4 linked regions of the Saccharomyces cerevisiae S288C genome follow. Changing the gene in region 2 together with the main gene of any one other region gives a genetic interaction. Each region holds a gene or a part of one and is shown on either strand. Other genes may lie near its edges. The genes, in order: BUD8, KIN2, RIM9 and RIM101.

Region 1 (8,055 bases), 500 kb from region 2:
ACTTTCGAAAGAGAAGTCAACTCTGACTTGTACGGTGAAAGAGGTTGTTTAATGGGTGGTATCCACGGTATGTTCTTGGCTCAATACGACGTCTTGAGAGAAAACGGTCACTCCCCATCTGAAGCTTTCAACGAAACCGTCGAAGAAGCTACCCAATCTCTATACCCATTGATCGGTAAGTACGGTATGGATTACATGTACGATGCTTGTTCCACCACCGCCAGAAGAGGTGCTTTGGACTGGTACCCAATCTTCAAGAATGCTTTGAAGCCTGTTTTCCAAGACTTGTACGAATCTACCAAGAACGGTACCGAAACCAAGAGATCTTTGGAATTCAACTCTCAACCTGACTACAGAGAAAAGCTAGAAAAGGAATTAGACACCATCAGAAACATGGAAATCTGGAAGGTTGGTAAGGAAGTCAGAAAGTTGAGACCAGAAAACCAATAAAGAGGAAAATAATATCAAGTGCTGGAAACTTTTTCTCTTGGAATTTTTGCAACATCAAGTCATAGTCAATTGAATTGACCCAATTTCACATTTAAGATTTTTTTTTTTTCATCCGACATACATCTGTACACTAGGAAGCCCTGTTTTTCTGAAGCAGCTTCAAATATATATATTTTTTACATATTTATTATGATTCAATGAACAATCTAATTAAATCGAAAACAAGAACCGAAACGCGAATAAATAATTTATTTAGATGGTGACAAGTGTATAAGTCCTCATCGGGACAGCTACGATTTCTCTTTCGGTTTTGGCTGAGCTACTGGTTGCTGTGACGCAGCGGCATTAGCGCGGCGTTATGAGCTACCCTCGTGGCCTGAAAGATGGCGGGAATAAAGCGGAACTAAAAATTACTGACTGAGCCATATTGAGGTCAATTTGTCAACTCGTCAAGTCACGTTTGGTGGACGGCCCCTTTCCAACGAATCGTATATACTAACATGCGCGCGCTTCCTATATACACATATACATATATATATATATATATATGTGTGCGTGTATGTGTACACCTGTATTTAATTTCCTTACTCGCGGGTTTTTCTTTTTTCTCAATTCTTGGCTTCCTCTTTCTCGAGTATATAATTTTTCAGGTAAAATTTAGTACGATAGTAAAATACTTCTCGAACTCGTCACATATACGTGTACATAATGTCTGAACCAGCTCAAAAGAAACAAAAGGTTGCTAACAACTCTCTAGAACAATTGAAAGCCTCCGGCACTGTCGTTGTTGCCGACACTGGTGATTTCGGCTCTATTGCCAAGTTTCAACCTCAAGACTCCACAACTAACCCATCATTGATCTTGGCTGCTGCCAAGCAACCAACTTACGCCAAGTTGATCGATGTTGCCGTGGAATACGGTAAGAAGCATGGTAAGACCACCGAAGAACAAGTCGAAAATGCTGTGGACAGATTGTTAGTCGAATTCGGTAAGGAGATCTTAAAGATTGTTCCAGGCAGAGTCTCCACCGAAGTTGATGCTAGATTGTCTTTTGACACTCAAGCTACCATTGAAAAGGCTAGACATATCATTAAATTGTTTGAACAAGAAGGTGTCTCCAAGGAAAGAGTCCTTATTAAAATTGCTTCCACTTGGGAAGGTATTCAAGCTGCCAAAGAATTGGAAGAAAAGGACGGTATCCACTGTAATTTGACTCTATTATTCTCCTTCGTTCAAGCAGTTGCCTGTGCCGAGGCCCAAGTTACTTTGATTTCCCCATTTGTTGGTAGAATTCTAGACTGGTACAAATCCAGCACTGGTAAAGATTACAAGGGTGAAGCCGACCCAGGTGTTATTTCCGTCAAGAAAATCTACAACTACTACAAGAAGTACGGTTACAAGACTATTGTTATGGGTGCTTCTTTCAGAAGCACTGACGAAATCAAAAACTTGGCTGGTGTTGACTATCTAACAATTTCTCCAGCTTTATTGGACAAGTTGATGAACAGTACTGAACCTTTCCCAAGAGTTTTGGACCCTGTCTCCGCTAAGAAGGAAGCCGGCGACAAGATTTCTTACATCAGCGACGAATCTAAATTCAGATTCGACTTGAATGAAGACGCTATGGCCACTGAAAAATTGTCCGAAGGTATCAGAAAATTCTCTGCCGATATTGTTACTCTATTCGACTTGATTGAAAAGAAAGTTACCGCTTAAGGAAGTATCTCGGAAATATTAATTTAGGCCATGTCCTTATGCACGTTTCTTTTGATACTTACGGGTACATGTACACAAGTATATCTATATATATAAATTAATGAAAATCCCCTATTTATATATATGACTTTAACGAGACAGAACAGTTTTTTATTTTTTATCCTATTTGATGAATGATACAGTTTCTTATTCACGTGTTATACCCACACCAAATCCAATAGCAATACCGGCCATCACAATCACTGTTTCGGCAGCCCCTAAGATCAGACAAAACATCCGGAACCACCTTAAATCAACGTCCCATATGAATCCTTGCAGCAAAGCCGCTCGGTGTTCTTTATTCATAAGCAACCTCATTAATCTATAGTCTGAAACTAATTTCCTTCTTGAGCTGCAGCCAATAATAAAAAATAATGGCGGCACTATACTACAACATAGGAGGATCACAATGATGTTTTCGATGCTGTAAACGTCCCTGAATCCATTTTGACCTGAATCAAACGAATGAATGGAAGCGGTATCGATATGTTGAATTGGCATTCTCGCCTCCAGGTCTATATTTTCAGCATCGTGCCTGTCTTCTTTCCTATTATCAGTTTTTTCTTGTTGCTTTCGTCGTATGCTTCGAGCTGGCTTTTCTATAATGGAGTTCTGTCCCGTGTCTGACTCCGAGCTTTGAGATTTAATTGGAGCTAGCACGAGGGGTTGTCCATGTTCTGGCAACGTTTTATTTTTCTTCTTGTTCATCTTGGTCAATGGAGAGGGCGTCTTGTGTCCTTCATAGCGTGAAAATGGATCAGACTTAGTTGAATTTCCAGATTCTAAGCGTAAAGGTGTCTTCGTCCATTTGCTTGGTCCGGACACACTTCTTAATACGGGAATTGAAGGTAGTCCAATTGGTGGACCTTCTTCTTCTAGGGATGTGGAGGGCTTGCGCGTAGATTTTGAACTGAATTTTTCTTCATTATTATGCCCTATATGGTCTTTAGGAGAACTTTCGTTACTACTGTCACTATTGTGTGAAGGAATCAATATGTTACCAATTAACGATGGACTCTGAGGAATTTTAATCTTCCTTGCCGACGTACCTGGCGCACCTGGCGAATGCGAATCATCACTTGTCGACGACTTTATTGATCCAGCCTTCTCTGGAATTTTTAGTTTGTGCGGTATAAATTTTGATTCATTCACAGGTTCGTATTGATCTATGACTTCATCCTCGGTCTCGCCTTCACCTTTACTGCCAGTTGAGCTTATAAAATTAACATTAGAAGTTTTATTCTTCGTTAGCCTCACTGCCTCTTCAACATCTGGTTCTAAGGTGTCATCGTAATGGTATGAGAAAAATGAGTGTTCCGTTGTTTCATTAGGTTCAATTGAGGTAGGACGTGGAGGTGTTCCATTCTTTGACTCGTCGTTCCCGCGATTCGCCAAAGATGAGTATAATGAAGATACGACCCTACTATGCTCTTGCTCTATAGGGCTTCCTTCAACATCTTCTCCCATAAGAACTGAAGTTGATATTGTCAGTGCGCAACTTAATCTCTGCGAAGATGGTGAATTCACTGCTCTTTCTGGCCGTACCGCCGCGTTTTGTGAAGGAGTTACGTTCCTTAACGGTACGGTATCCTCGTTGTCTCGTCGAAGTGAAGTTGGCCTTACAGTAGTGTTGCTTGGTATATTATTATCTTGGGTATCGTGAAATTGTGTAATAGAGGACGAGTTGCTACTAGAGCTAGAGCTTGTGGATGCTCCCATTATTTGAGAAAACCTTTCATTGTTGATGTATACAGCAAATCCTTGACCTCTACTTGTGGTTTCATAGGCAACAGTAGCCATCTCTGTCTCCGCATCGGGGTTCCCATGTGCTCCATTAAGATTTTCAAAAAACAAGGATGTTCTTAGTTGTAGTCTGGATGATACAGAGGAAGTACCACTATATGAAGTTGATGCTGTCGTTTCAGAAGAGTCCAAATTATCTTCGTCTGATTGTATCATACTTCATGTAGAATCGAAAAAATTCTCAAGTAGAAAGAGGATATTGGGTATTGTCAAAAATGCTTCGATTCAAGAAAGAAACTCCTAGAGTTAAGAGAAAGTTATAGTCTAAATTGAATTAAAATAAGCGAATGTAATTGGATTTATTATCTTATCAAAAGAATGAAAAGTATACCGGTAATCGCCTAGAAATAAAAATCGTCAATAATGAATATTAAAAAAGCAATTGAATGGTCTTTCTTTTGTTAACTAGAAGTTCGAACAAAACAGAGGTCGCGACTGGAAAGCTTCCAGTTGTTTTTGGATATCTTTATTATTTTCCTTCCTAAACCAATTGCCTGTTCTTAGTATGGGGTATTGATAATTGATGGAAGGTGATTGAAAATTATAATGAATTTTGCAGGTATCGCTTACGCGCAATAAAAAAACACACCACAATGAACTTAATCCTACTCTTATTAGCGTCAGGACTATCCGGTTTGGCCTCTCTAGTAAGCGGATGAGTAAATCATTTTCTAATTGTTTTTTTATTCTCTCTTTTGGATCATTTTTCGCAATGTTTACCTTTTTCGGAGGAGAGAGGCTTCCCTTATGAAAAAAAAAAAAATGGAAAACTTAAAAATCACATTGCGTTTCGAGGCATTCTTCAATCAGTTGATAGGGGAAGGGAATTTGCTGCAATCATTAAATTCGTTTCCGAAAAGTCTGGCTAAATGGTAGACGATGTATGCAATATTTTACCATATATAGAAATCATATACAAGACACAAGACGAGAGCGGAGGAAGGGTAAGGAAGTAAAGAGAAAAATATCTATGCTTTTAAACTGTAGTATCTATACATTCCACGCTCAATGCACCCAAAAACTTGATATTCGTTGACTATTTCAAAATGTAATCTATATCTTTGAGTCGTCAGAGGATCCTTTGGATCATAGACAAATTCATCGGGATGCGTGAAATAATAATTCTTACGCTTGTGAAGGTGGTTGAAGTGGGAGAAGGATAGAAACGATGCCGAGGACGAGTGTTCACCAGTTAAACTTGGTCTTGTTTTATTTCCTGAACGTGAGCGCGAACTTTCAAATAAGTGAAGTTGGGACCTTCTCCGTTGCAAGTCGGGATCGTGCAAATATTCGTCGTCAGTCTCTTCAAAGTTTGCGATTGTTCTTAGTTCCTGCTGCTCATCAGCTAACTCCTGAATTCTTTGTTCTTGCAATGATAGCTCACGTAAATCATGGACCGACCTATCCCAGTACAAACCATCCCTGATTTGAGATGCAGGAGAAACATTGATAGCAAAGGGGTTGGCAGAGGAAGAACCATTGTTGCTTCTTAAAGTGGGTCTGCTCAACAGAGAATTCCTTCTTGGGATGGCATTCACGTGATTTTGGCTATCTTCCACATGACTGTTGTTGTCGTCCTCATTATGGATGATTCTCCACCCACCACGAGGTAATGTTGGGGTAATTATTGGTAGTGGAGTATCACCAAGGCTGATCGCACCTTTTCTATTTAAGAATTGAGAAACTGGTGGCTTTAAATCTCTGTAACATAGTTTACGTCTAATACCACTTTGAGGAACTAGACCACATCCAAGCATGATTTTACTTTGGGCAAACTTTAGGAAATCCGGCTGGTTTATAATTTCTATGATTTTGTGACCCTCAAAATCATACCTAGTTAAATTTGACTTAGAATCCAAGTCATCACGATTCAGGAAAGGATCAGTCTTATATAACCAATATCTCCTACCATAAGAAGAATCAATGTAACATTTCCACTTTACTTGTTCTGCTGTTGAAATATCTTTAATTACCGAATTTGGGTTTTTATATCTGTATGCAATAATTTCATGTCTATCATTTAGTTTTTCAATCTGTTGCCACGAGTCAAAGGAAACTTCTAACGCGACTAAACTTGGAGAACAAGTGTACAATAATGAGTCCTGAATAGTCCATTTATTCACATAAGAGTTACCAGAAATATTCAAAAACTTCAATTTTTGAGCACAATTAGGATGGTCTTGATCAATTGGTGTCAAAAATTCTACGAGCGTAGATATCGGGATACTATTACCTTTTATACTCAAACTTTTTAACTTCGGAAAATTCCACTTTATGAACTGTAAGCTATCGCGGCATTGGTAATAATAAGTGGATTCGCTAATAGGGTCCTCGCCGAAAGAAGGTGCAACATGAAGCGGTAAACCGCCGATATTTAGATATTGCAAAGTTTTGTTATGGCCATGTTGACAAAGTTTTTTTAGTAAAAACATTGTGTGCACCTCATTCCAAGATGAGGAATGGGCAATGACACTAACATTCAGCCATTCTAATGTAGAAGTGTTGTCAGGGTCTGTAATTGTTGGGTGATGACTAAAAAACTCCAGAACCGCTCTTGGAGTAACTTGAAGACAAGTAGCGAGGGAAAGATGAGTTAAATTTTTCCAGTGAGGTATGCCGTGATATAAGGTACTATCATCAATGGAGGTATGAGATAAATCAAGTTTTTGTAGTTCTGGTAACATTTTTAAGATCTTCCAAAGGACGTGTGATGGTAGATCAATACAATCATTTAGGCCTAAGCAGGTAATCTGATAATTTTGTTGAATAGGTTCCAGCCGGTACTGATCAATCGATTTATTAGGGTAGTATTTATCCAGGGCCTTAATAAAACTTTCTGTGAAAGTGGTGCCTGAACAGCCACAGAAATCCACTACACTCAAGACTTTTCCTGGAGATAGAATATACTTTATGATATTATCGTCTAAATCGTCTTGAATATTTTCACATGCTAAGAATTCCCTTAAGTTTGCTTTTGTGAGCATTAGAAACTCAAGAAGAGTTTCGTTAGTTAGATTTTTAATCATTTTATTCATCTCACTGGACCTCCCCAGTCCAATAGACGTTAATTCTTGGAAATCGGCTACTTCAATCTTATTGCAAAGGCATCTATTTCCCTTTAAAGTCTGTAAAAGACCGTGAAATCTCTTTGCGGTAGTTAAATTACAATATCTATAAATGAGAACTTGACAAATATGGGAGAATGTCTTATTAACAGTTAAATTACTTTTGACAAATGTAGTTAAGTTTTCGTTAAACTTTTCTGCCGTACCTGGATGGTCATTTCTTAACAAATCCCTAAACTGGTATGTAAGTATTTGGTACACAATTTCTGGAGGAATAGCCGCTCCCAAAGATTGGCTTGACAAGGTCTTGGACTTCAAATCTGGCATTTGGCTTCTTCCGACTCTGTTGTTTCCTATTGTTTCTAATAGGGTACGTACTGCCACGTATTTAATGAGCTGAATAAGATCACAGTTTTAGTATTGCCCCAACCTTATAAGCGCTAGTTAGATATAAAAGGATAAGGGTAGCAATATAAATACAACTTAGTTGGTGGTAAGAGTAATGTCTACAACTTTTAAGAATTGTCGGATCACTACTTCATCAGATGAGGAGGGGAGGGTACACCAAATTCCACCTCTAATTCAATGAGCCATGTGAAATAGCGCGGGTAACATACCTCCGTGAGGCATCCTTTTATTTGACTCTAATGGGGAATTGTACAAATTGGCTTCAAGAATTGAGTAAACGGGGAAGGAATAGTACAAAGTTGGTGCCATAGTACGTGTGATGGAAAAAAACTATCGCTGAACAGGAACTTAAGTAGCTACAGCGGCTATTTTATACGCTCGAACGCACAAATTGATAAAAAAAAATTCTTGACTGTAGACTGTGTATTGATAAAACAAATCCACGAGCTGAAGGTAACACAATTGACATGCAAAGCACAAGGCCACTAATTTGGAATCGTCCCGCTCTGCTTTCTGAAACCATGCGGGCCTTATCAATGCACAGATACGTCATCAGGTACGAACACGATATTAA
Region 2 (9,752 bases):
AAGTAATATTGTCCACTGCAAACCCCTTGAAGAAACTGATTGTGTTATCGAGAATAACGGAGATTTTTGCATCCAAGATTTTCAGCCCAAACGAAACTCTACTTCAAAGGAGTGAATACTTGGCCAAATTTAATCTGGAGGTATACAATTGGAGAAGGGATTTGCCCCCTGAACTACAATGGACCAAGAGGTCATTGATGGAAATGACAGATTTTAACCCAACCATAGCTTACGTATGGTTTCATTACTATATCGTGCTAATTTCCTATAATAAACCTTTCATATACGAAATCAAACAAAGCCGGGAATTGGTTGAAGGTTATGTTGATGAACTGTATTATCTTTTAAAAGTTTGGAAAAATAAATTTAAGACGTTTGAGAAGGCCACAATTTACATGATTTATTCTGCGATTTTAGCCATCCAATGCATGAAGTCCAACTTGATTAAAAAGGATAGAAAACAAGACTTCTTAAATTTTTTAAGTGCGCCTACCCTGAATTACGAACTTGCTAGAAAATTCATAGAAAACTCTGAAGATGCTTTGCATAATTCAGAAACTATGGATTTATTAGGGACTCTATCTCACGGTAACGATTTTGCCTTAGAGTACAATTTTGACTTTACTTTATTGAATGAGATTGATATGCTGATTGGTGGAAACACCAATGATGGTTTGTCGAAGTAATCTTGAGTGAAGAGGATATGTTTACTTGAACAAATATTCTTTATGTAATGTGTTTGTAGCCTTTTTATTTGGGAAGGAATATACCGCTATCCTTTCCCACCTCCGAACTTATCGATTCGGAATTTTAAAGAGCCTTCCAAATGACAAAAAAAAGGATTGTAGTTCCTAGATAGCGAAATCGACTGAGCAAGATAAAAGCAAACATTCCCCATCATCTTTGGCGACGACACATGTGTTCCATAAGCTAAACTCAAGGAGCAAATGATAGTAGATTATGAAAAGGACCCTAGGGCTAAAGAGGCTATTGCTATTTGGGAAAAAGGTGTACTGAAAGAGAAGGATGGGTCAATGTCAGATGCTATAAACTTCTATCGAAGTGCATTGAAAATCCATGATAATGTGGAATCACTGTACAGAAAAAAAATACTTGATGAGTGGATGCTGCACAAAAAACTATCGGGATTATCAATGACTACTGATGCTCCAGATGAACAAAATGAAACCGGTAAAGATGACTTATCTGTTGAAGAAAATGCTGAACTTCAACCCTGCTGGATTCTGGAAATCTTGCCTGACGACATTTTACTGAGAATTATTAAAAAAGTTATATTAATGTCTGGTGAATCTTGGGTGAATTTGTCGATGACTTGTTCCACCTTTAGCAAGCTTTGCTTCCACGATTCTGTGCCATTTAAAACTTTCGCGAAGTACATATATTCTAAGCAAATATACGACAAAATGGCAATGGATCTTAACGGAATCACCGATATAAATACCTTTGAAAAGGAAATATGGCGGGGTGATGATTATCGTATGTTAAGGGAAAGGCCATATATTAAATTCGAAGGTGTTTACATCAGTGTAGTAAATTATGTAAGATACGGTTCCAATGCAGAAAGTTCGTTATCTCTTTTAAAGCCAGTTCACATGATCACCTATTACAGGTATTTCAGATTTTATGAGAACGGCCAATGTTTGAGATTACTTTCTACAGATGAACCTAGCGCTGTCGTGAAGCACTTCTCCAAAGAGAACAAACCCAGGCATAGTCATATGTGTTATTGGAGCCTCGGATTTGATTATGATTTTGGTCATTTAAAGATAACAAGGTCAGATGAAAAGTATACGTTTATCGAAGAATTCCAAATCAAGAATCAAGGCAATAAGAGATATCAACGGTTGAAATGGCTAAGTTCAATTGTAGTGGATAAGGAAGGGAATGCATCTAACTGTTCGTTGAGAAATGAGAAATCTTTTTTCTTCTCCAGAGTGAAATCTTTCAAGGATCCTGGATGACATCGATGTTTTTTGCAGTTGTTTTACTTTATTTATTATTCTTATAGATTTATGTAGAACTATTATTTCATCATATGAAAGATTAAAGAAAGCAGATCTCAGCTTAAATAAATTATACTATAATATTAAAAAAAGATAAATATTAGATAATAAAAATTGAAAGACACACGTTGAAATATTTAGTAAGAACAACGTATCTATAGGTTTAATTCTTTTAAAATATACGATGCCAATTCTTTATATAGCCACGTATTACCAGAAACCTTTTTGAAATGTACACCTGCTAGGCCGACGATACGAACCTTTACAATGTGAATCTCAAATTTAATAGGAGGCCTTTCTTTTATACCAGAAGTATTGGTTTGCTCTGTTTGACCATTTACGTTATTTATATTTTGGGCTCTTGATGTTGTTAAAATATCATCCTGTTGTTGAACATAATCTAATGACATGGAAGATAGTTCCCCTGATGTACCATTACTTTGGTTTCCGTAGTTTGGAGACATTGGGATAGATGAATTTCTTTGATGTGTATTGGTCGCTAAAGGTGTTAGTGGTATATTATTCTGGCCCCTCTTATAAGAACCTTGGCGTTTTATCGAACTATTTCTTGATGCTGAGGACGCTGTACTATGGTAACTGGATGATAATTGACTGTCTAAACTATTTTGCAGATCCATCGCCTTTCCGGAATCCAAACCCACGCCAGTAGTGGTTATAACAGGGACAGCTGCAGTCTCAATAGATGGCCTTTGTTGGACACATATGAACCCGCCTTTCACTTCTTTGAAATCAATATTCATTCTTGTTAAAACAGATATGATATTGTGACGAACAATAGGCAATGGTTTAGAGGAGGTTGTTTGTACAGAGAAAAAACCCTTCAAAAACATTGACTTTGGATAATCAATTGATGGCATAGACCCGGGGGGTGCCTTTGAAGCTTCCTCCAAAATTTGCTTCTCAGTAAGCTCCTGAGAATACACCGAAGTCAGTCTATTGTTAGTATCGTTACTGTATGTGGTAGAATCTTCAGGAACGGTCGAAAAGTTACTGCTAACAGGATTGTATCTCTCCTTGTTTGCCTCTCCCAAAAAGCCGTTATCGTTTGTCATATCTGATGGCGGAAGGGCTGCTGGTATAGGCGGCCTAGTAAATTTCAAAGATTCACGACGAGCATGCCCCACCGATTTAGCCCTTGCACTAGGATGTAACTTACGACCCTTCGGAACGGAGAGATAATGGTCACTATTATCATTATTGATACCATCGACTACAGCGTTCACATTGTTGTTATCATTATCATTAATTTGTAATTTGTCGAGATTTTCCTGTAATAGTTTTTGCCGTTGTTTTTGAACAATTAGTTCGGCGTTCTGAGGTAAAGCTGGAAGATCACTGTTTTGCTTTTGTGATACTGACCTTATAGGAGGTGCTATGGTAGTGTTTTTAGCGGGTTTCTGTTTTACATCAACAGAATTTGGCACGTAAGATGGATATCTTCTAGCGCTAGGAATATAATCTGATATAGTACGACTATGGCTTTTCGGTACTTTGATGGAAATTTCATTTGATTTTGACATATATGTTGGAGGTTCTCTTTCTGGAAGAGGTTCCTGTTGCCGTGTGGGATGCTGAGATTGTCCACTTTGTGATATTCTTCTGAATATGCCGCCTATTGTATTCTTTTCCTGATGTTCACCTACTACGGGTGAAGCAGAACGTTGCTGATATTCGCCAGACACGGGGACTGGTGTTGATTTCAAAACACCATTTAATTCCGTATGAATGTCGGAACTCTTCCTAGATGTTGGAGAAGTATGCGCTTGTTCCGGTATTGTTAGTTTAGGAGGAACCATTACATGCAGTGGAGGTTTGTTTGAGGTATTAGTGTTGTTTGAGGTTCCCGATGTTCCAATTGCCGGCACTTGAAAAATACCAGGATTAGGTACTACTTCTTTCTGAGGGCTCCTCATTTTGGTCATAATATCCGGGGAGTTATTATTTAAGGCGACCTTAGTGCCAAGTGCTACTTGTTGCTGTTGTTGCCTTTGCTGAGCTTGCGCTTGCAGGGCCAATGCTTGCCTTCTTTGCAACTTCGCTAATTTCCGTGCAACCATTTCTGAAACCAAGTGATATATTGATAGTAATGGATGATATGCTAAAGTAGGATCTTCAAAATTACTATCTGGTTCATTATAACCACTTTGCGATGGATTACTTGTAATATGATTTTGTATTAAGGTTTGTTGTGCCGTTGAATTTAGGTAGTTATTATTTAAACTTGAACTCAACCCCTTGGCGTTGGATAATTTGTCCCAGTATTCTTGGGAAAGTTGGATGTATTCCTTTTCAGTTACTAATCGGATCAATGATCTTCTTGTATCTTCAATATCGTCAATAAATTCTAGGCGATACATTTCCTTCAGAACTTGGCTATCTATCATTTCAGGGGTTAATGGAACACGATTAGGAACATATGATGGAGCCTTAAAATCGTATCCTCTGTTCATCCATGGATGCTCAACGACATTCTTTAATGTTGCTCTTCTTAATGGGTCGACAACAATCATCCTGGTTAATAAAGATATAACTTCAATGGATAAGTGTGAAGGATAGTCTACTTTACCTTTTTTTATTTTTTCATGTAAAATGCTTGAGTTCTCATCATCAAATGGTACTTTACCGCAGACCAAGACATAAAGAACAATACCAAACGACCAAATATCTACCTCAGGTCCTGTGTATGGCTGCGCTTTTAATAGTTCTGGTGCTGCAAAGTACAAGGAACCACAAAACGTATGTAATTGTTTCCTATAATCAAAAATGTTGGAAAGACCAAAATCAATGATCTTAATTTCACCTGAACTAGATATCATTATATTCTCAATTTTCAGATCTCGATGAACAATATTATTGGCATGTAAGTATTGCAGCGCACTAGCTATACCTCTGGCAAATTTCCTCGCATGGTGTTCCTTTAATGAGCCATGCTGAATAATATAATCTAACAGCTGTCCACCGGAAACGTATTCAAAAAGCATATAAAAATGGTTTGACATAGTGCACATTTCAAATAAACGACAGATATGAGGATGGTAAAGGATTTGGCCCAAAGAGGCTTCCCTAACAGTCCTTTTATCCCTCGCAATTTCTTTTTCTAACCGCTTTTGTCTTTCTAATATCTCACTCTCATTCTTTGGGGAAGGTAAAGAGTGCTGTTTATGGAGATAAGCCTTGGAAGCCCTATTAACAATCTTTATTACACAAATTTCCTTTGTTTGACGATGCTTGACCAATTTAACTTTACCCATAGAGCCTGCGCCAACCGTTTCAAGGAACTCCCAATCTCCCAAAGATCTTCTATGAAATTGCCTTAATTCCACGGCGCCATTAGGCCTCGATGCATCATTTTGTCTCTGAGCTGCCTGTTCCTTGCCCTGTTTGATATCTGCAGGAGGCATCAGTGGTGCTTGTTGCTGGTCATTTCTTGGTCCAGATTGCTTGCCCATCATGCGAAGAGTGGCTGGTGCAGCAACTCGCGTGTCGTTGAAAGCTTCTGGCGTCGGCGATAAAGATCCGCCCTTACTGGTCCTGAAATTTGGATTCACCAAGTAATCTGCTGTATTCGGATTAGGCATAGTGAAATACTTAACAATTGAGCCGCGATATTAATGGCACAATAAAACTTTTAGAAATTTCTTTTGAAAAGCGTTTCTCGGTACCTAATGCTGTTCGCGCTCAGAGTTCCGCTGAATTTCGTGTAATGCAGTATATTTTGTAATAAAGTTCTCGTGGCCCGTCCTTGACTGTGAATTTGTGTCAACGGCGTGCTCTATTCCTTGCTTAAACGGTGGCAAAGCAGGACTTCTAGGTCCACTTGAGCTCTTCTTTTCCTTTTCCAACCTTTTTAAATTTTCGTTGCTAGACCAAGTTACCGCTATCACCGCACACGGAATGCGAGAGCGTCAAAAGTGACATAATTCTTCCTTTCCAGCAACATTAACATTTATTTATTCAATAGTGACACGACTAAGAAACTAGATCAATTGCTCTATTTTACTCATACACACTGGCTAATCATATATAGATACAAAGCGGTGAATCAGCGATCGATGAGAACGAAGAGAACTAGGGGTACAAGAAATGTAGGAGCGAGCATGCCTGCCGGCGCTGCGAATGCGGATAGTGAAGACTGGAAAGAATATGTCTCCGAAGACATAATAGCCCAATTGAACAAGCACCAGCTGCCGTATTCTGAAATATTAGATGAGAAGATCGCGGACTTGGCCAATCACTGGCACTTCCAGTATGTGATGGCTTGGCTTTCCAATGTCTGCGAATCATATACTACAACGACATTTAATACTGACCAGTATGGCGGTAGCTCTACCAAATGCTTGTGGAAGAATATCAAATTCGATGAAGGTGTATTTGTAACTGACGTATTTTCGAAGATAGACGGGAAGGACTCGAACTATTACAATGATGAAGTCGACGTAGATGAAGGATCGCAAAATTTGTACGACAGAATTAGATTGCAATTATTGCATCAATTAGCGGGAAATAAAAGCGGGCAATTGAAAGATTGGAATGTTATAGTTAACCATCACTTGCAAAACTCGAGCGCGTATTCAGATTTGGTTACGGACTTACCTTTTTTGGAGCTTGAAATTGCACGCCAATTCGACATCATTTACAGTATCATAAAATTAATTGAAATGAAAAATATGATCTTCAAAAACTACTTAGCGAATAACTTGCATCTGTTTACGTTTAGTGAAGTTATACTGGATGATGATAATAGTGGAGGGGAGGAAATGAAGAGCTTGTTTGCCTTACCCAATGTTGGTGTACTCGTAAAGAAAACCATTCACAGAGTAAAAGAAGGCTCTTCCTCCCAAGTCTCTCAAACTCTGAATATCCCAATAAAACTACAGAACTGTACTATAAAAGAAAGCGACCCAGACATTCCTGATTCAGTGGAGCTTATTCATCTCGAGTACTCTCACGATATCGATGCATATCTTCAATCGATTACAATTGATTATGATGTGATTACAACTAATTGGGGGTCCATGCTAGAATACTGGTCAGAGAATAAAAGTTCGAAAGCCATAGATGAGTTCATAACTAACTTAATACCGGTGTATGCCGAACATAGACTATATTCGGCAAAACTTTTGGCCAACAGAGAAAAGGAGAGAGCAATTGCGGAGCTAATGACAAGGAGGAAAAGATCTTCGAGACTGGTAGCGAAAGAGGAAGAAAACAAGAAAAAAGACTTGGAAAGTGAGTGGTTTGAAAAACTAGATGAAAGAGAACAATTTATAAGGCACAGAAACAAGCTAGTGTCGAAGGAAATCAAAAAGATAAAAGATCTTCTTTGGAACCAATTGTGGCAATTGTACGATCAAGATTATAGAGATGAAAAATTGACCAGGCGTAACGAGCTCAAAGATAGAAGTGGTTCTGGTACACCGTTTTTTGAAACGTCTTTGGGCAGGGAGGAGGACAATCCCTTAAATGAAATCGATATCGGAGTTCTTGATCACGGCCCTAACTTTCAATCTAGTATAATCCCGGTGGAACCACCAATTCCTGGAACTGTTGGGCCACTACAGACGGGAGACGTCCCTGAATTGCCTAGTGACTTCTGCATAACAAAGGAAGAGCTAGATGAGCTTGCCAACTACGGGATCTTTACTCCGCAGCAAGAGCCCGACAACCAAGATTCTGTTTTCCAATGTCCGGGCGAACCAGAGCTGGCGCCCATGATTATCACCGAAGACACGGAGACTGACCTCTTCAATAACCGCCCATTGATATGCTGTGATCATTGTTACAGGTGGCAGCATTGGGAATGCCAACCTCCAAAAATTATAGAGCTTATATCTTCAACCACAAAATCCCCACAGCACACGCTGTCGCAACGTGATTTTGGCGTCATCATAATGGGAAATTCGCACGGCAATAGAAGGTCTTCTCGCAGACCCCAATCCACACTTGAACCCAGCACCAAGTCTTCAAGACCTACTGATAAACGCAAACCGCTGTCTGAATGCTCCACTTTTATCTGCGCTTGGTGCATCAGGGACTTGGAACTTGAGCTGCGCAACATTTTTGTGCCTGAATTGAAAATAATAAGGGCCAAACAAAGAAAACAACAGGAAGACCGTGAAAGAAGAAAAAAAATGAAGGAAGAAAAGAAAAGGCTCGAAGAGCTTGCAAAGAAAAGGGAACTAACCGAGTCTGTCTCACCTCCAGTGTTTAATAATGCATTTGCAAACATGTCAAGTAGCACAACGCCTAGTATCGCCGCTTACGAAAAAACAAATCCAGCCATCAATCCAGCACCTAATGTAAATGCCGCTCACCCCATAATTACATACTCGCAGCAAACTGGCAGCAAAACTGTACCACAAGCACCACAGGCACCACAAACATCACAAGCATCAATCCAACCACAGCAGCAACAGCAACAGCAACAGCAACAGCAACCGCTGCACCCTAAAGAACAGAACTTTCACTTCCAGTTCCCACCAACCAACTAGCCTCATATAGAAATACACAGCAAAAGTATATAGTAAAATATATATCAACTGGTTCTTCATGAAACTTTCTTTTCCAGCCGCACATCCGTAGGGCTTCTGTCGCTTCATGTCGGGTAATAATGATGCTTAGGGCTTAGCGCCAAAATAATTAGGGTGTATGAGGCGGCTCCTGACTAGGGTCAGACGGCATTTTTTCGTCTTTTTTTATCCGGTTTTTCGTCAGTGGCCATCCTTAATGCGCGGCAAAGGTGCTGAAGGCGCCTTATTGTGTTAAAAAAGCCAATGAAATAAAAGTGGGATGGTGAGAACGCCAAACGAGTGAAACAGAGAATGGAAACTCGCTTCTTCACAAGTATTTGATGGCTAGTTTTCTCAATTACTTGTTTCTTTGGATAGACACGAACATACAGAACACTTTCAACAAGACATAATTATAGAATGCTGCTGGACGTGAACACAAATCACACACTAATGCACGATGCTCATGTGCATGAACATTGCCTCATCAAAAGCATACGTGATGATGGCGCATTGCACTCATGGAGCGACTCATCAAAGGTATTTTATCCCAAGTCATTTTACGCTACCGCTACTAATAAGAAGAATAACAAGTTAGCCAGCGCCAGCATGAACAAGACCGCCACAAGTAATAGGACGGTGAGCGATGAGATTTATTTCCACTCCACTAAGCCGCAGTTCGATGGTCAAGGAAGCGCTGAACGTACTAGAACACTAACCAAGAGGAATAGCTTCAAGAGGACTAGAATACTGAAGGCTCGAGACGATTCCGAACTGCTGAACGAAAATCGCTCATCTTTGATGACCCCGTCCTTAAGCTCGGTCATGTCGCAAGTTAGGAAAACAAATTCCGCCAAGACGTTATCGGGCGAATGCCCCATACATGAGGGCCACTTAACACAGAGCATAAAGAGGAAGTTCTCCGAGGAAGCTCAAAGCGACTGTTCTTCATTGAGCTCCTCTAAACTTCATCCCTTGACAGATGATATTGCTGACGCTGTCGATTTGCAGACCCCCGCGATTGGCGATGAGGTACTGGCTGAGCCGGTCGTGCCCAAAATGAAAATAATAAACATAAATGATCTCGATTTGTTCGACGACTGGGAGGTTAAGGATTTAGTCGATATCTTTCCTCCCGTATACGAACGGCGTCCGCGATCGTCCTCTGCCCTTTCACTGGTTTCTGCGTCGTCCGATG
Region 3 (7,016 bases), on a different chromosome or scaffold from region 2:
AAGACAATCCCACGAATATTTTATCATACTTCCAGCTTATTCAATATTTGGAAACTCAAGAGTCATACGCTAAGGTGAGAGAAGTATACGAGCAATTTCATAACACATTCCCGTTTTATTCACCTGCGTGGACTTTGCAACTAAAGGGTGAATTGGCAAGAGATGAATTTGAGACTGTTGAGAAGATTTTGGCTCAATGTCTTTCTGGCAAGTTGGAAAATAATGACCTATCTCTTTGGTCAACATATTTGGACTACATACGCAGAAAAAACAACTTAATTACTGGTGGACAAGAGGCGAGAGCTGTTATTGTCAAGGCATTCCAACTAGTTATGCAAAAGTGTGCAATTTTTGAACCCAAATCATCTTCTTTTTGGAACGAATATCTCAATTTTTTAGAGCAGTGGAAGCCATTCAACAAATGGGAGGAGCAACAGCGAATTGACATGCTCAGAGAATTCTACAAGAAAATGCTATGTGTTCCTTTTGATAATCTAGAAAAAATGTGGAATAGATACACTCAATGGGAACAAGAAATAAATTCCCTAACAGCCAGAAAATTTATTGGCGAGTTATCAGCCGAATACATGAAAGCCCGTTCCTTATACCAGGAATGGTTGAACGTTACTAATGGATTGAAAAGGGCATCTCCAATTAATCTGCGCACAGCAAACAAGAAAAACATACCACAACCAGGTACCTCAGACTCAAACATTCAGCAGTTACAGATTTGGTTGAATTGGATAAAATGGGAAAGGGAGAATAAGTTGATGCTTAGTGAAGATATGCTATCACAAAGAATCAGTTACGTTTATAAACAAGGTATTCAATACATGATATTTTCTGCTGAAATGTGGTACGATTATTCAATGTATATATCTGAAAATTCGGATCGACAAAATATCTTATATACTGCGTTATTAGCTAATCCCGACTCACCTTCTCTTACATTCAAGTTATCCGAATGCTACGAACTGGATAATGATTCTGAAAGTGTTTCTAACTGTTTTGACAAGTGCACTCAAACTTTACTATCGCAGTATAAAAAGATCGCCTCCGATGTAAATTCGGGTGAAGATAATAACACAGAGTATGAACAAGAGCTGCTATACAAACAGAGGGAAAAATTAACATTCGTGTTTTGCGTGTATATGAATACGATGAAAAGAATATCAGGACTATCCGCAGCACGTACTGTATTTGGTAAATGTCGTAAACTGAAGCGTATATTAACACATGACGTCTACGTGGAAAATGCATATTTAGAATTTCAAAATCAAAACGATTATAAGACTGCTTTTAAGGTTTTAGAATTGGGTTTAAAATACTTCCAAAACGATGGAGTTTATATCAACAAATACTTAGATTTTTTAATATTTTTAAATAAGGATTCGCAGATCAAAACCTTATTTGAAACATCAGTGGAAAAAGTGCAAGATTTAACCCAGCTGAAGGAAATATACAAGAAAATGATAAGTTATGAATCGAAATTCGGTAACTTAAACAACGTTTATTCTCTAGAGAAAAGATTTTTCGAACGGTTCCCCCAAGAAAATTTGATTGAAGTTTTCACAAGTCGTTATCAAATTCAAAACTCCAACTTAATAAAGAAATTAGAGTTAACTTATATGTATAATGAGGAAGAAGACAGTTACTTTTCTTCTGGAAACGGGGATGGCCATCATGGCTCTTACAATATGAGTTCGTCAGATAGAAAGAGACTAATGGAGGAAACTGGAAACAATGGAAACTTCTCCAATAAGAAATTCAAAAGAGACTCAGAGCTTCCAACAGAGGTTCTTGATTTATTGAGCGTTATACCAAAACGTCAATATTTTAATACAAATTTACTCGATGCGCAGAAATTGGTGAATTTTTTAAATGATCAAGTAGAGATTCCAACAGTTGAGAGCACCAAGTCAGGTTAACATTACGTTAATAAATAGGTATATATGAATATTTATACCAACACATCTATTATAATAGGCGAACCTCTGTATGTAATTAAGTAAAAAAAAAACGATGTGACAGGATAGTTAAGGTGCCTCGTACATAAATAAAAACGGAAATAGTTAATTCTTTCAAAAATATGGCAATAGCCAAACTCATTCAGAAGGTACAGGAAACACTCTGTTTCTGTGCGTTTATATAACCATGCTTATAAAAGAAAGATTGAACAAAATATACATGAATTTATGAACGGTAATCACCGTTAATTGTTACATATTCATGTGATAAATCACAAGTCCAAAATTGTGCTGCCTGATCACCGGTTCCCAAGTCGACAGACACTTCCAAATCATTCAAAGCCAATATTTCAGAAGCCCTTGTTTCATCGATCTCCAATTGTGGCACACCATTAGCGACAAGCTTCAGCTCACGAGGTTCTGAATTGTCGGTAGCAATAAAGCTAACATTAATTTTGTTGACATCTAGAGATTTTAAGTCATTCAGCTTTGCATACCCGATCGCGCACAATATTCTTCCCCAATTGGCATCTTGCCCATATAGTGCGGTTTTGACCAACATAGAGTTTGAGATTGATTCAGCAATTATTTTGGCGTCTTCAAAATGCAAAGCATTTTTAACGTTAACAGTAACAAACTTTGTCGAACCTTCACCATCGCGAACGACTAACTGGGCCAAGCGCTGAGCAAATTCTGTGACCTGCAATTTTACTTGTTCAAAATCTTTAGAGTCTTCGTTAATTTCTTTGGTGTCAATAGCACCGTTGGCCAACATGCAAATTGTGTCATTGGTGCTCATATCACCGTCCACCGATATACAATTAAATGAACGGGTAGTAGCGAAAGTCAGCATCTTCTGCAACGCCTTGCTTTCAATAGGAAGATCTGTAACTATGAAACCTAATAAGGTAGCCATATTCGGACAAATCATACCCGCGCCCTTTGCCATACCTGTCAAAGTATACTCAGTACCACTAGGTAATTTGAATCTAGATGTAACTAATTTTGGGAAAGTATCAGTAGTACAGATTGATTTGGCTACGTTCAACCAAGAGTTAAAATCACTGCCGAACTTTTCTTCTCCAAAAATTTTATTGATACCAGTGCTGATCTTGTCCATCTGTAGTCGTTGTCCAATAACGCCTGTAGACATGACTAGGGTAGAATTTTTTTGACCAATTTTATCGTTAACCAAATCAATCATTACTTGGGCATCTTTCATACCAAGATCACCTGTGACCGAGTTAGCACAACCGGAATTGACTACAATAGCGTTGATGTTTTTACCACGAGCAGTTTCAAGGACTTTTTTCGATGTCAAAACTGGCGCAGCTTTGAATTTATTGGTCGTGAAAACAGCTGCTGCGGTTGAAGGACGAGATTTATTGGTATTCAAGATTACACCCAGGTCCAGGCTCCCGTTTTTTTTGACTCCAGATGCAGTGTAGCCTACTTCAAATCCTTTAGGAAAAGAGCCCGTCTTGGGCACGTATAATGCATACTTATCTATAAGCTGCTTCGAGCGTTGAAGCAATGTTGATGATATTCTCATGCTATGTTGAATTTTGGACTTCTTTAAATAAAGGGAATAGAAGTATTGCTGATACTAGCCCAAAAATCGTCACCTTTGTGCGGCGAGCCGAGGATGAGGCTTTTATATACTCGACGACTAAAGAAGTTGGCAACGAATTACGCAGTGAGTCATCCTACCTGTCCATCGCAGTAGAAAAAGACCTTCGCCAAGAAAACACCGTCAATAATGATTGCTAAGCACTCTCACTTAGTACTACTATCAACGCTACCTTCAATTTGGGTCTAACCACGGCCCTATTGCATCACTACTCTCTTTATTCTATGATACAGCGTGGGGGTGAAGCCAAGAGCCCTGTGTTTTACTTCAGCATACCAACAAAGTATAAGATTACTTTTGCTATACAGCGATGAAAAATGTATTTTAATGTTTGTAAATTTATGATCTACTGACACGTCTCAGACAGATCACATTTACAACACAGCATGCTATGACTATATACAAAACATGACTTTTCTTTATCACTAAAAGTAACTGCCAATTTATTGTCGAATCTCGCTATAGTTTGATTTTCACCAGCGGCGCGCGCAAGTATAAGCTAAGAAACAATGAATATAGATAGATAGTGATGAGCGTTGAGAACCGGGAAATGAGTAGAGACGTCCTTCTAAACAAAGATTTATACGGTTGAGACAGATTCATTGAGGAAAAGAGGAGAATGGTTAGCATGATCCATATTGTGGTGTTTTTGCTAGCAATCACAACCATGTTCGAAATACTTCCGCTAATAACCGTCCCCGTGACCAAGTACCTATCGTTATCGTCATTCAGAAACCACTATTATGGCCTGTTTGGCTGGTGTGTACGTGGTCAAAACCAAGAATTGATGTGCACGAAAATGAAGATAGGATATGACAGTACAGATGTCGACTCCTCCGGGCACGTTTTGACCCTGCCATCGAACTCAAAAGTGGTCGTCTCCAATTTATTAGTGGTTCACCCGATTTCACTGGCATTCACAGGAACGCTATTAATTTTAGCAGTGATTATCATGGTAACTCCACTAGGGGACTCACCTGAGATGTTATTGTTCACGGCCCTTTTTTCGCTGCCAACGTTCATGCTATGTCTTTTATGTTTTTTGGTAGATATTCTTCTGTTCATCTCCAAACTGGACTGGCCCGGCTGGCTAATGCTAGCCGCTACTATTAGCGTAGCACTTTGTTGTTCCATGCTGTGGGTCATGAGAAGAGTTGTGTCAGTCAAAAAATATGAATCGCAACAGTCAATTGCGCATGCGTGCTCAATGGAACAGTACTCAATTTCCGACATTTACCAGAGTAAACAGAACGGCAATAGCTCAGAATATGAAGTGGCTCCAACACATACAGATAGTCTGATTGCTCCAGAAGTGACATATAGAGGGTTCATTGAATAAGTAACATCATGTGTCATTTTGCACGTTACATCGGTTTGCCAATCGGCTTCCAAATATTTGTACATTTTTTTCTTCCTCCATCACTATCTGTTAAGGGTCTTAGAAAATGATTACTACAGTGCAAGAAATCAGCAAATGGAGAAACCTGTGCTTCATTAGGATGCAATCTCGCAAATGGTACCCAGTACTTAAAAAGACTCCTTTAGTAGCGGACGGTCGAAAGATCATTAAACATGCCGATAAAGTTCCTCATCCGGAAGAAATAATTCACCCATTTTACCAACCAACAGCAATAGAACAATTCACGGCATGCGCTACGGAATACAATCCTAGCCTGCTTGATGGCAAAAAAATTGCTCCATCACTGATAAAACACCCGGTGAGCCTAAAAACCATACTAGTTGATAGCAAATTAAAGTTTGATGATATTAGGGGAGTGAATAAATGGTTGATGGAATTCGTTGCAAGACGACAACATCAAAGAAATATTGTACTTACACCTGCGAGCAAAAGCGTTAGATCTTTTCACGTTCTGCATTTGTCTTCAACCGATATTGCCAAATTAAGAGGTCTTGAAAATATATTATCAGAGATTGAAAACACGAATGATTTGCAATCCAGGGTCGAGTCCGTAAATAATGAACTACAGAATATTTTTGACCGCGACAGTAAACAGACAAGATTATTTTGCGAGAATATACTGGCTTATTTGATAAAGAATTATGGAAACTCGACTGAAAAACTTATACTACTAATAAATGTTACTGAGATGCAATTATATTCACGTTTAGACCAAATGAAGGCCATGAACATTATTTTATATAATATCCTTTGTAAAGTGGAAGCAAATGAAAACCCACCGTACAGTCCCACATTGGTTACCGCACTAGAAAACCTATTGGCAGCGATCAACAACAGATTTTTTCCAGGGCGTTGCGAAAATTCATTGCACCCAATAGTAATTGAACAACTATTATCATATTTCATTAAAACCGGCAATTTGAATGAAAGCAAAAATTTTTTGGGCCATTTAATAAAAAAGGGTATTTTACCAGAGGCTACTATCATTAATAGATATTTGGAGGCAATTGATGTTCATTTCGATAAAAGCACTAAGATTTTTGATATAAGATCCAAATTTGCATTCATAGCAGATCTTGCACCCATAATAGAAAATTATGGAACAATAGACCTGTTCAAATTTTTGATACCTATGTGCCGGCATTTCGACGAATTGTGTTCTCTGCTAAATATTATTCGAAAATCCAATAACGCAAAACGGGCTGTGGATAGCACCTTACCTATTTTTATCAAAAAAGTATTAACATTTACTAAAGATCCAATGATCAACTCCGGAAATCTATCCACTGTTTTCAATATAGTGAGCCCAATATATGGACAAAACGTGCCCAGCGAATTCGTGGAGAAATTTATACTGTCTTTTGCACTTCAAGGAAATTACACTATGATGGCTCATATGATAGATACATATAAGATCAAACTAAGTCATAAATACCAACTACAAATTATTAGGGCTCTCAAAAATAGTGAGAGAAATCACGCGCTTAAGAATACGGGCGCTGTAGGTTATAATAAGGAATTTAAAAAGTACTTCATCGAGAAATATTTGAATTGCACTGAACGAGAAGCTTTACGCCCATAAATCGTCTATATTAAAAAAAAGGCAGCATAAGAGCAACTCACTGCAAAGGGAATTGCGCATTCCACGCAAATAAACAATGTAAATAAGAATACGTACTGTAACTGTGTCACACTAGCGGGTTGTTTTATCATAATTGTTTGGGATTAATCCTGAACAAATTTTCTATATATAAACACTGGTTCGGAATACCAATGAAGTATACATATTCTGGTTCAACAACTGTTTCTATTCAAAAACTTTGAATGTTTGAAATGCGCTACGTCTATTTGTTTGCAATTTGTATTAAGTTTGTTTCAAGCTCCGAACTAGGAAAAATCAACAATCTGCTGCAAGGAAGATTGATATACACAGATAATTCCGTTGCGACAAATGTATTAGAATCCAAATTTCCATTCTTGAAATCAACATGTGTTAAAG
Region 4 (4,039 bases), on a different chromosome or scaffold from region 2:
GGGTCCCACGACTACTACTTCAACGATTATCCACTACCGCAGGTCATGAAGTTGATTTATGCCGTTGTAATTGCCTTTGTATGCACTCCAGTGGCCATCATCGTCATTGTGTTGAGAAACCAGTTTCACGAGGAACTTTACTATGAAGGCTTAGCAAACGGTACGCTACAGCAGGATCAAGAAGTTTGCTCCACGGGTAATCGCAGCTCGGGATCAACCGATCAAGATATCAGTACTACCAAACAACAGTCTCAAGAAGCGGTAGCGTGAAGAAAAGCAACAAAAAAATAAAAGCATGTGCGAACTCTAGTTTAATACTTAATAAACTATTAATACTTTACAATTAGCAATCTATAATATACCCACCTTAACAAATAATTTTTCCTTTAACCATTGTTACCTTGTTTAATCCGCGACGCCGCGCTAGGGCATGTGTGATTTATTCATTTACTATACAGCCGCAAAGAAACAACTAAGAATAAAATATCCGACAATCCATATCATACCAAAATTTTGGGATACTTGGTCAAGATGCGAACTGAGTTAGTTCCCATTTGGTTTTGTAAACTCAATTTTTCTAAAGATTCTTGCAAGAATGCGTTTTCTTCATCTTTGTCCTCACTTTCTTCATCATCTAAATCTTCCATGACACAGCACAACAAGTAGTCCTTGATAATGTTCACTATACCCAACATCTCTACGAAATCATCCTCTATCTCGCTTTCGTCATCTACTTCTTCAATCGCCAGCTTACTCATGATAATATCATTAGTACAGCTTTTTTGGTTCAGGCTAAATTCCCAGTTAGGCTTCAATGAAGTTCCACCTGCCATTGTACGGCGCGATGGTAACATTGGTATCTTTGATTGTAGAGGCGGTAATATAGAACAGCCACTGGAGGAATAGCTAGGCGCAGCACGAACAGATGGATAGTGTGGCATAGCATACTGTGATTGGCGGTTGAAAACACCACCGGCAGTGTTCGAATGTAAAGGTGGCAAATGTTCAGTAAGCGAAGGACCAGTTGGATACTTGGCCAACCGTACTGGCACATAAGTTGCTGTATTTGCAGTGGCCGAAATAGAGCTACCACCTTGTACGGATTGGTATGAAGGAGCATTAGGTGGCTGCACATAGCTTGTTTGTGCTACGGGGATGCGCCCAGATGATGACGAGGACTCAGTACTACCACCGCTTTGTTGCAAAATGTAGTTATTTGTCATATTTCTCGATAGTTTGGTGAAGAATTGGGTGGCGTTTGCTATGGTCTTATTAGAACAACCGTCCTCGTAGACATTCATGCTCCGACTGTTGGCACCTTGGCTTACCGTGCTGCCGTTATTGTAGTATAATGGCGGCAAGATCGTTTGCAATCTGGCACTCAATTGTGGAGAATATACCGGCTTATACTGAGATAGCTCGTCTGAGCATAGTTGGTTTAAGGAAATAGCCCGCTGCTGCTGTTGTGAAGGCAGATGTTGAGATATACCCACGGGCAATGGGGGTAATATCTGTGGAGAAGTAGAATGTGACTTAAAGCTACCAGCTATAGCGGAAGGCACAGATGCAGAACAAGACGACACTGCGTCGCTTGCACAACTTTTGTTTTTCTTAGAAGTTCTTTTTGAGCCCCATTTGGGTCCCCTCTTTCTTTTCAAAATACCGCCACTTTCCAGATGAATTTTCAAATGCTTTTTTAAATCTTGCGGACGTTTAAACTTTTTGGAGCACGTAGAGCAACCGAACGGTTTCAATGGTACGTGAACTCTCAAATGCGAGGTGATATGGTCCCTTTTCTCCGTCTTCGTGGTACAGTCTCCCCAATGACAATTCAATTGTAGGTTCTTATGTGACTTCCTGCCAACATGGTCATGACACAGATGATTATATAGCAGCTCTGGTTGGTTGAAAATCATACCACAGTTGTCCCATTTACAATATAGTGTTATATCCTCAGAATCACCGTCATTATCCGCATCGTCGTCATCACCTGCCGGGTTATGCGCTTGTGCCAATGGCGAGGAGGAGGACGAGTCAGAGGAAGATGATGTGGTGGGTGAAACTGCCGAAGCGCCCAATAGATCGTATGGAGGAGTGTTCAAGTGTGAAGTACTATGATATGGTAAGCATGATGAAGAAGTGCTGCCTGGTGACATCCGTTCATCTTCTTGACCGTTCAAGCCAATAGCTTCCGTGGTACACCTAATTCTAGGCCTCTTCGAACAATCAGAAGACCTTTTAGATAGGTTAGGACTGGGCAGCCCGTCCTTCTTTGTGACGTTAGAAACGTCTGTCCCATTTTCTACTATACTCTCCCGGCTGTGTTGAGGTGCGGCAGTGCCATTTTCTTTATTAAGCAGATCTTCCAATGGCACCATCTTAAGTCAATTTAAACAAACCTACTTTACCGTTTTCAGTATTTTATCTTTGCACTTGTTCAAAAAGTGTTGTGCAATAGCAATATTACTTTCTCAGTGGAAGTGATAACAGACCAATAAAAAAAAAAAAGGTTATAGACGGTGACTCTTATGAAAACATTTAGTTCCTTTCTATATTATTGAGTCTTAATTTTTTATCTTTTGTCTCGTAGATTGGCATCCCTCACCCGTCTGAAATGATTTTATAAGCCTCCGTCATCTCGGACGTAATTTTAGAAACTCCGAGCTGGACGGCTATTTTATTTTCTGCGCCGTAATCTGTGAATCACAGAGAATGTCTCGCACGAACGCGGTATTTAGATTATTGTGCCTGCTGTCACTGGGCAGAGAAAAGTATGTACAAGATAACAGCGTTATTGTCGTAAAGCATTCTTTTGAGAACATTCGAAGGAAAAAAACAAAGTTCAGAATTAAAATTATGTATGTATTATCGTTCGTGGAATATTTATTACGTATAAGAGCTGCAGTCTTTATTCGTTCATTAGCCGCAGAACCCTCCTGGAGTAGTCTACGTTGTCTGATAACGAAATGGTAGAGTGGTTTGTGGCATCGTCATTTGCTAAAGTGTTAAGCATCTTACTTGGGTCTAGCCTCTGATCCACCAGTACCGTGTCTTCACCTAGAGTAACGTTTGATTCCATTTTTTCGTGTTGCTTTTGAATGGGCGAATGAAGAAAAGTAGAAGTTCTTCTGGGAAGAATGGGATCGTGAAATGGGCTTGCCAACGTGCTTGGGTCATTTGGTGGACTGCCTGCAGTCAAGGAATACGTAGATTGACGTGGGGATGGTGATTCAGACATAATTTGTCCCTTTTCATCAGTGTATATTAATCTTGGGGTCGAGAAAGTTGAATTTGAAGATGGTGAAGGCGTGTGTAACGTGGTAGTGGTAACTTCATTTGGGTACTTGGACTGGTAAAACTTACTCTGATATTCATTCTCAAAATCTTGAGCCTTCCGAGCGGGTCTTGTTCTATAATGATGTATTAAGTATATTAGTATGCATATAATTACCAAACATACCACTCCAACCACGACGAAAGTAGCGGCTATTTTCCCGGGCGAATCCCAGTACCCTTTCTTTTCTGTAGACTTGTTAGTTGGTGTATTGCTGTTGGTGGTGTTACTATTGTTATTGTTTGTTATTCTACCACCTACGCTGGCAGACGTAGTAGCCACTGCAGAAGTAGGAGTAGCCCCGAGGGTGGAAGAGTAAATCTGCGTTATTACTTTTTTCATGGTGAGATATCTCGAGGTGATTTCCGAAATGTTAGTGTCCATGGTGTGCACTGAAGTCACTGTTATCACAGAATACTTTAAGGAGGTCTGCAGGTTTACAGAAGTTATAGTGGACGTTATTGGAGATGCTGTGGTACTGGTGTAAGTAACCGTAGTGCTTGAAGGGGCTGTACTGGGTGATGTCGTAGTGAACGTTGTGCTCGTTGGTGTTGTATTAGACGAGCTTGTAGGTGCTGAAGAAGAAGTTGGCGATGTTGTACTTGTTGAAGTGGAAGTTGACGACGTCGTGCTTGTAGAAATGGGGGCTGACGATGTTGTGGTTGGAGTTGATGATGATGATGATGATGTGCTCGTGGAAATGAG

Evidence for each region.
Region 1: mutations in KIN2 (region 2) and BUD8 together harm fitness more than expected from each alone (negative genetic interaction), as found in Saccharomyces cerevisiae (3 studies listed by BioGRID).
Region 3: mutations in KIN2 (region 2) and RIM9 together harm fitness more than expected from each alone (negative genetic interaction), as found in Saccharomyces cerevisiae (2 studies listed by BioGRID).
Region 4: mutations in KIN2 (region 2) and RIM101 together harm fitness more than expected from each alone (negative genetic interaction), as found in Saccharomyces cerevisiae (2 studies listed by BioGRID).

Annotation. Positions count from the first base shown.
Region 1 is NC_001144.5:830,461-838,515, reverse strand, and holds BUD8 (Bud8p), read right to left. Parts: upstream 4,165-8,055; coding exon 2,353-4,164; downstream 1-2,352. Other genes in the region: ILV5 (ketol-acid reductoisomerase), read left to right, coding at 1-450; sedoheptulose-7-phosphate:D-glyceraldehyde-3-phosphate transaldolase TAL1, read left to right, coding at 1,159-2,166; LUG1 (Lug1p), read right to left, coding at 4,977-7,400. UniProt on the Saccharomyces cerevisiae protein: Involved in positioning the distal bud pole signal.
Region 2 is NC_001144.5:328,461-338,212, reverse strand, and holds KIN2 (serine/threonine protein kinase KIN2), read right to left. Parts: upstream 5,624-9,752; coding exon 2,180-5,623; downstream 1-2,179. Other genes in the region: CHA4 (Cha4p), read left to right, coding at 1-686; SCF ubiquitin ligase complex subunit HRT3, read left to right, coding at 948-1,982; IOC2 (Ioc2p), read left to right, coding at 6,098-8,536; GIS3 (Gis3p), read left to right, coding at 8,975-9,752.
Region 3 is NC_001145.3:392,861-399,876, forward strand, and holds RIM9 (Rim9p), read left to right. Parts: upstream 1-4,216; coding exon 4,217-4,936; downstream 4,937-7,016. Other genes in the region: cleavage polyadenylation factor subunit RNA14, read left to right, coding at 1-1,928; ARG7 (glutamate N-acetyltransferase), read right to left, coding at 2,194-3,519; AEP1 (Aep1p), read left to right, coding at 5,043-6,599; KAR5 (Kar5p), read left to right, coding at 6,842-7,016. UniProt on the Saccharomyces cerevisiae protein: Required for the proteolytic cleavage of the transcriptional repressor RIM101 in response to alkaline ambient pH, which is necessary for sporulation and invasive growth.
Region 4 is NC_001140.6:49,450-53,488, reverse strand, and holds RIM101 (alkaline-responsive transcriptional regulator RIM101), read right to left. Parts: upstream 2,379-4,039; coding exon 501-2,378; downstream 1-500. Other genes in the region: YHL026C (uncharacterized protein), read left to right, coding at 1-270; WSC4 (Wsc4p), read right to left, coding at 2,909-4,039. UniProt on the Saccharomyces cerevisiae protein: Transcription factor that mediates regulation of both acid- and alkaline-expressed genes in response to ambient pH.